Linked DNA regions of Pelodiscus sinensis. The protein of the gene in region 1 purifies or fractionates together with the protein of each later gene. This does not show direct contact. Links are inferred from orthologs where the notes say so. Each region holds a gene or a part of one and is shown on either strand. Other genes may lie near its edges.

Region 1 (3,904 bases):
CACCCCCCCCACTGCCCACCCCTCTCCTCCTCCCACCCCTCCCCGCTCACCCCCCACTGCCCACCCCCTCTCCCTCACCCTCCCCGCTCACCCCCCCACTGCCCACCCCTCTCCCCCTCCCACCCCTCCCCACTCACCCCCCCACTGCCCACCCCTCCCCCCCTCCCACCCCTCCCCGATCACCCCCCCCACTGCCCACCCCTCTCCCTCACCCCCTCCCCGCTCACCCCCCCACTGCCCACCCCTCTCCCCTCCCACCCCTCCCCGCTCACCCCCCACTGCCCACCCCTCCCCCCCCTCACCCCCCCCACTGCCCACCCCTCTCCCCCTCCCACCCCTCCCCGCTCACCCCCCACTGCCCACCTCTCCCCCTCCCACCCCTCCCCGCTCACCCCCCCACTGCCCACCCCTCCCCCCCCTCACCCCCCCCACTGCCCACCCCTCTCCTCCTCCCACCCCTCCCCGCTCACCCCCCACTGCCCACCCCTCCCCCCCCTCACCCCCTCCACTGCCCACCCCTCTCTCCCTCCCACCCCTCCCCGCTCACCCCCCCACTGCCCACCCCACCCCTCCCCCTCGGCCGGCCCGGCGGTTACATAAGCGGTTACGTAAGGGGCTACTGCGCCCCGACTCCGCTCCAGCAGCCCCCGCCGCTCAGCCGCATTGTCCGCGCGCAGCGCCCGGAGCCCGGCACCGCGCTCGGGGGGGGGGACTCACAGCAGCGGCGGCCCCTCAGCCCCCTGCGCCGCCCAGGGGCGGGCCCCGTAGCAGCAGCGACACCTCCCCCAGCCGAGCGGCGGCAGCTGCCCCCGGCCCAGCCACGGGGGCTTGTCAGGGGCAGGGGACAAGTAAGTGCGTTATTCCTCCACCCCCCTCCCCATGGTAAATAATGGACTCGCCCATCTCCCGGCGGCCAGCTAGGGAGTGTTTACACTCCAGGGGAGAAACCATTGGGCACCGGGGGGAAAGCCAGACACTGGGATGGCAGCTGAGCCAACGGCAGCGCTCGGAAAGGCTAGCAAGCCCCCCTCACTAGGGTTCCTAATTGGGGTTTTTCGAGCGGTGCGTGGAACAACGGCTCTTGTTTGTCTTGGGGGGCTTTTGGGTTGGACTCCCCCTTCTCGTCCCCCCTCTCGCCCCTGAATGGTTCGGCCTCCCTCGCCTCGGCCGCCGCGATTGGCTGAAGCCTTAAAGGGGCAGGCAGGGCGCGCTTTTCTGTCCGCCGACTCAGCCCCACGCCCCCCGTCTCCATCCTCGCCTGTCGGGCCGGTGTCGTTCGCAGCCGGCTCCGGTTGCTGGAGGCGGCCGATGCTCCCCGCGCCCCGGGCGCAGGGATGAGGAGTGGGGCTCGCGGGCGGCAGCAGCCAGGCCCCCCCGCGGCGCAGCAGCCATGGAAACGGCCGCGGCGGACGGCGGCCGCCGAGGGACACAAAGGCCCGCGGCGGAGCGGAGGCGGCGGCCCGAGCGGGAGCGGGGCCCGGCGCTGAGGGGCCCCATGGCGGCGGGCGGCGGGCCCGGGGCGCCGCGCTACAGCCTGGTGGCGGAGATCGGGCGCGGCTCCTACGGGGTGGTCTACGAGGCCGTGTCGGGCCGCAGCGGCGCGCGCCTGGCGGTCAAGCGGATCCGCTGCGACGCGCCCGAGAACGTGGAGCTGGCGCTGGCCGAGTTCTGGGCCCTGACCAGCCTGCGCCGCCGCCACCCCAACGTGGTGCGCTTCGAGGAGTGCGTCCTGCAGCGCGACGGGCTGGGCCAGCGCATGAGCCACGGCAACAAGCAGAGCCAGCTCTACCTGCGCCTGGTGGAGACCTCGCTGAAAGGTACCGCCCCCCGGACCCCCCTAGAGCCCCCCCGCCTGGGACCCCCCCTAGAGCCCCCCAGCCCCGGGACCCCCTCCATAGCCCCCCCAGCCAACTCTACCTGCGCCTGGTGGAGACCTCGCTGAAAGGTACCGCCCCCCCGGACCCCCCCTAGAGCCCCCCCAGCCCCGGGACCCCCCCTAGAGCCCCCCCAGCCAGCTCTACCTGCGCCTGGTGGAGACCTCGCTGAAAGGTACCGCCCCCCCGAGCCCCCCTAGAGCCCCCCCAGCCCCGGGACCCCCCCTAGAGCCCCCCCCGCCAGCTCTACCTGCGCCTGGTGGAGACCTCGCTGAAAGGTACCGCCCCCCTAGAGCCCCCCCAGCCCCGGGACCCCCCCTAGAGCCCCCCCAGCCAGCTCTACCTGCGCCTGGTGGAGACCTCGCTGAAAGGTACCGCCCCCCTAGAGCCCCCCCAGCCCCGGGACCCCCCCTAGAGCCCCCCCAGCCAGCTCTACCTGCGCCTGGTGGAGACCTCGCTGAAAGGTACCGCCCCCCCGAGCCCCCCTAGAGCCCCCCCCGCCAGCTCTACCTGCGCCTGGTGGAGACCTCGCTGAAAGGTACCGCCCCCCGGGTCCCCCTAGAGCCCCCCCGCCTGGGACCCCCCCTAGAGCCCCCCCAGCCCCGGGACCCCCCCCTAGAGCCCCCCCCGCCAACTCTACCTGCGCCTGGTGGAGACCTCGCTGAAAGGTACCGCCCCCCGGGCCCCCCTAGAGCCCCCCCAGCCCCGGGACCCCCCCTAGAGGCCCCCCCGCCAGCTCTACCTGCGCCTGGTGGAGACCTCGCTGAAAGGTACCGCCCCCCTAGAGCCCCCCCCCAGCCCCGGGACCCCCCCCTAGAGCCCCCCCAGCCAGCTCTACCTGCGCCTGGTGGAGACCTCGCTGAAAGGTACCGCCCCCCTAGAGCCCCCCCAGCCCCGGGACCCCCCTAGAGCCCCCCCATAACCCCCAACTCGGGACCCCCCCTAGAGCCCCCCCAGCCAGCTCTACCTGCGCCTGGTGGAGACCTCGCTGAAAGGTACCGCCCCCCTAGAGCCCCCCCCAGCCCCGGGACCCCCCCTAGAGCCCCCCCAGCCAGCTCTACCTGCGCCTGGTGGAGACCTCGCTGAAAGGTATTGCCCCCCTGGGACCCCACAGAGCCCCCCCGGACCGCCTCCATAGCCCCCCCCGGCTCTGGGAGCCCCCCTAACCCTCCTAACCCCCCCATAATCTCCCTAGCCAGCTCTACCTGCGCCTGGTGGGGACCTCGCTGAAAGGTACCTTGCTGAAAGGTTACCCCCTCCACAGCCCCCCTGCCCTGGGACCCCCCCATAATCCCCCTATCCCCCCCCAAGGCAGCTCTACCTGCGCCTGGTGGAGACCTCCCTGAAAGGTACCGCCCCCCCCGGACCGCCCCCATAGCCCCCCACCCCGGAACCCCCCGGCCCCGAGACCCCCCCATAGTCACCCTCCCCCGACCCTGGGACCCCCCCCATAGCCCTCCTAACCCCCCCAGCCAGCTCTGCCTGTGCCTGGTGGAGACCTCCCTGAAAGGTGTTCTCCCCCCCCCCTTGCCTGGGACCCCCACACGGCCCCCCCTGCGCCCTGGGACCCCCTCCCACAGCCCCCCAACCCTCCCAGCCAGTTCTACCTGAGCCTGGTGGAGACCTCCCTGAAAGGTACCGCCTCCCCCCTGCGCCCTGGGAGCCCCCCAAAGCCCACTCAGTCTGGGACCCCCCCAGCCAGTTCTATCTGTGCTTGGTAGAGACCTCCCTGAAAGATACTGCCTCCCTCCCACGCCTGGGACCCCCCCCCCCACAGCCCCTCCCGTGCCCGGGACCCCCCCCACAGCACTCCCTGACCCCCCCCGAGACAGCTCTACCTGCTCCTGGTGGAGACCTCCCTGAAAGGTACCCCCCCACAGCCCTCCTGACCTGGGACCGCCCCACAGCCCCCCCCCCCCCCGTGCTGTAGGACCGCCCCCCCAACCCTTCCAGCCAGCTCTACCTGCGCCTGGTGGAGACCTCCCTGAAATGTACCATCTGGAGACCCCCCCAGCTCCTCTAATCCCCCC
Region 2 (3,904 bases), on another chromosome or scaffold:
TGTAATCTTTTCCATCCATGTGCAGAATAAATTGTATGTGCCCTGAGGCATGTGCGAACATGCACCACTACTAGAAACAAAAAACTTAGCTCTGGATGTTCTGCTAATCAGCGGGCAGCCCTTGACTCTCTCCTGAGTGGCCGCACAAGCTCACAGATTACAGGGAACACTGATCCCTCAGTAAACATTGATTTCACCATAATAGAAAAGGATGAAAAAAATTTCCAACGATAATGAAAATGTACAGCTAGGGAAAGGAAGGAAATTGCTTCTTGAGAACTTAGTTGGAGTGTGATTTGTGGCTATTTACTTTGCAAAGTTTGACATGTGGTGTGTTGACAATGGCTGTCTAAGGCTATAAAGCAGCAATAGTCTACCTAGGCTAGTGAGCGAGCTGCATGAGTGGCCGTCTTTCATCTCAGTGGGCCACAAGATTGTGGTAACCAAGACGGTCTCCCAGGATAGGGTACTTTTGCTCACTGTGCTTGCACACCTTCAATTTGCAGCATGTGTTGACTAAACCGTAGCACCGCTGTGATGGGACGCAGAGGGAGCACAGCTCTCCAGTCAAGTGTGTCCAGTCAGCCCGCACTTCCCTTCACAGTGCCCGTTCTTTACTGCGTGGCACTTTAGTAGCCAGCTGTATGAAAAAAATAGGTGGACAGAAAGCAGTGGCATGTGACAACTCTGCTCGTGGGCCACGGTGAACCAAACGCTTTGTGGGCCACGCAGAGCCCGGTGGGCTGCTTATAGCCCCATGGGCCACAGGCTGCCCACTTAGCTCCCTGCATCTCAGCTTCCACTGTTAGTGACCGGTCTGTGGCCAGCCATGTGCAAATGCGCGTAACCCAGTCAACGTGCCCAGCGGCTCAGGCAGCAGCGCTGGGGCGGGCGGCTCCCGGGGAGCCGGTGGGCGCTGGGAGCAGCTTTGCAGCCGGCACAGGTACCAGGAGCCTGCCAGGGACCCTGAAGGTTAAGGGCTGTTACCCTGCCACATCCCCCTCTCTGCACCCCAATGTCCCACCCCGACACTGCAGGCCCCTTAGCACCTGCGAGCGGCACCCACCCTGGGGCTAAGAGCCCTCGGCCCCCACGTGCTCGGGGCGGTGCCCCGCACAAAGATGGCGCTGACGGTTGGCCCGCCCCTCGTGCGTGCCCCGCACAAAGATGACGCCCGCTCCCTGCGTGTCTGGTCCTCGGCCCGCTCCTTACGTTCTGAGCGCCCCGCACAAAGATGGCGCCCGCTCCCTGCATGTCTGGCCTCGGCCCGCTCCTTACGTGCTGAGCGCCCCGCACAAAGATGGCGCCCGCTCCCTGCGTGTCTGGCCCCGGCCCGCTCCTTACGTTCTGAGCGCCCCGCACAACGATGGCGCCCGCTCCTTAAGTTCTGAGCGCCCCGCACAAAAATGGCGGCCGCTGCGTGAGGGGCGGTGCGGGCGCGGGGAATGCGGTGACGAGCAGCGGCCGGGGCAGGGAAGGCAGCGGGAGCGGGAGCGGGGCTCGCCCAGAGCCGCCCCTTCCTCGGCGTCCGATGAGGACCCGAAAGGTGAGGAAGGGCCGAGCTGCCTTGGGGCTGCCCGGTCAGAGCTCCCCCCCCCCCCCCCAGCGCCACACGGACCCTCACAATCCCCCCCAGCTCCCCCAACCGTCTACCCCGCACGGAGCCCCTCCCCCAGCCCTGCGCGCGCGGAGACCCCGCCCCCCGCAGCGCCTCCAAACGGCCGCCCCTGCAGAGCGCCCCCTGCGCCTCCCCCCGCCCAGCTACCCCCGCGCCCCCCACAGCTACAGCCCCCGCCACCCCAAAGATCCACCCACCCGGGCGCCTCCAGCCAGCCCCCCGCGCCACCGCCTCAGCTGCCCCCCGCGCCCACACAGCTCCCCCGACCAGCCTCCCCCGAATCACACCCACAGATCTCTTGCAACCAGCATCACCCCTGCACCCCACAGCGCGCCAGCCTCCTCCCCAAGATCCCCAATACCCCCAGCCAGCTACCCCTTTGCACAACAGAGACCCCTAGTCCTCTGCAAAGCGACCCCCCCAGAGCTCTTCCAACCAGCTACCCTCCTCATGTTACAGGAAGCCCCAGTCCCTCCCCCAAATGCCCCAAACAGAGCTCCCCCAACCGGTTCCCCCCCTTTGTGCCACTCGGGACCCCAGCCCTCCCCCCAGTGCCCCTTCCTCCATAGAGCTCCCCTAACCAGTATCCCACCCCATGCCACACAGAGTTCCTCCTCTGCATCACACAGAGCCCCAGCCTCCCCCAAAGAGGGCCCTCTCCACTCCCACCCAGAGCCCGGTGTGCTCTTTGCCCCCACAGACTGCCCTAACAAGAGCCTTCCCAGAGTCCCCCAGGGTGCGATCTTTGCGCACTGGTGGGGTTCTGTGGCCTTTTTCGCTGCCTGAGACTGGCTTCCTACCCGTGTGTCCTGCAAGTCTTAACCATTTGCAAGTCCCAGTCCAGTGGTGAGGAGTTTGAACCTCCTGCTGCCCCTTACATACATGGAGAGTGGGTTCTACCCTGCAGTTCTGGAGAGCTCTGTCATGGCCGTTTGGATGCCTACCATGATATTTTCTGAGATTTCTTGTTGCTGGAAGAGATGCTTCTCCTGCTGAAGGTGTCACAAAACCCCCACTTCCTCTTCTGGATTGTAAAATTGCATTTGGTTTAGCTTGCAGATGGAGTGCCAACTTCAGCACGCCAGAAGGGTGGAAACCATGCAGCCACCCAATTTTCATCTCCTCAAGAGGTTGATCTTTGCAAATCTACAAAAACAGTGTGTCTGGTAGGAAAAACATGTGACTTTTGCTGCCTGAGTTGTTTGAAGAACATTACTTACATTCATTTTGCAATGAGCTGTTAACTTTGGAATATTATTTAGGGGATGTTTTGACTTTTAGTAAGGCCATCAAAATAATATGTTGAGCAAAATGTTTTTATTATATTATTACAGAGGCAAAGTAATATTTTTAATTGGACCAATTTCTGTTAGTGAGAGAGACTAGCTTTTGAGTCACACAGAGCTCTTCTTTCAGGTCTGTTAAAGGTTCTAGATGTTACCGCTAAATGTTAAGGGACCATTCGGCAGAAGTGATCACCTCGCTCACCTTGTCTTGGTAATATCCTGGGACTGACATGGTTACAACTAAATGTTACTTAGTGTACACATAGGCTGTGTCTAGACTGGCCACTTTTTCCGGAAAAGCACTGACGATCTCATGTAAGATTGTCAGTGCTTTTGCGGAAATACTATGCCGCTCCCGTTCGGGCAAAAGTCTTTTTCCGAAAAACTTTTGCGCAAAAGGGCCAGTGTAGACAGCAAAGATTTGTTTTCCACAAAAAAGCCCCGAGCGCAAAAATGGTGATCGGGGCTTCTTTGCGGAAAAGCGTCCAATCTAGACGTGCTTCTCTGAAAATACTTTTAACGGAAAACTTTTCTGTTAAAAGCATTTCCAGAGAATCATGCCAGTGTAGACGTAGCCATAGTTATGCCGAGAGCAAGGATAGATGGACATAAACTTGCTTAACAGACATGCCTTGTATTAGAAATTAATATTCTATATGTCGATATATTAAACATTCATCACTGTGATTGTTCATGTATCTGCTTGTTAATATGGATGTCTCAGGAATTAGAGGTACTGCCGATCAGATATAGCTACATTTAATTCCTCAAGTTACTTCAGGGTATGGCAGAGGTGTGCAGTTTTTTTTGAACATGCAAGCAGTAATACCTAACTGCAAAAAATGCAGTGGCACCTTTTTCTTTTCACTCTAAAAACCAGGTTTTTGCATATTATGTTTATACTGCAGTTGAACTGTCTACGTTTTTATCATCATAAAACCTTGGAAATGGTTCTAAGGAAAATAGCATACTATAGTGCAACACACTGGAAGTGAGATCC

Evidence for each region.
Region 2: the proteins of STK35 (region 1) and C23H1orf174 purify together in Homo sapiens (affinity purification with mass spectrometry; 3 studies listed by BioGRID and IntAct, counting the BioPlex papers as one, with this or other methods). This does not show direct contact. The link is inferred for Pelodiscus sinensis from reciprocal best matches to the Homo sapiens genes STK35 and C1orf174.

Annotation. Positions count from the first base shown.
Region 1 is NC_134728.1:3,047,156-3,051,059, forward strand, and holds the start of STK35 (serine/threonine-protein kinase 35), read left to right. Parts: upstream 1-950; 5' UTR 951-1,390; coding exon 1,391-1,817; intron 1,818-3,904.
Region 2 is NC_134733.1:22,081,813-22,085,716, reverse strand, and holds the start of C23H1orf174 (UPF0688 protein C1orf174 homolog), read left to right. Parts: upstream 1-1,406; 5' UTR 1,407-1,531; coding exon 1,532-1,546; intron 1,547-2,670; coding exon 2,671-2,784; intron 2,785-3,904.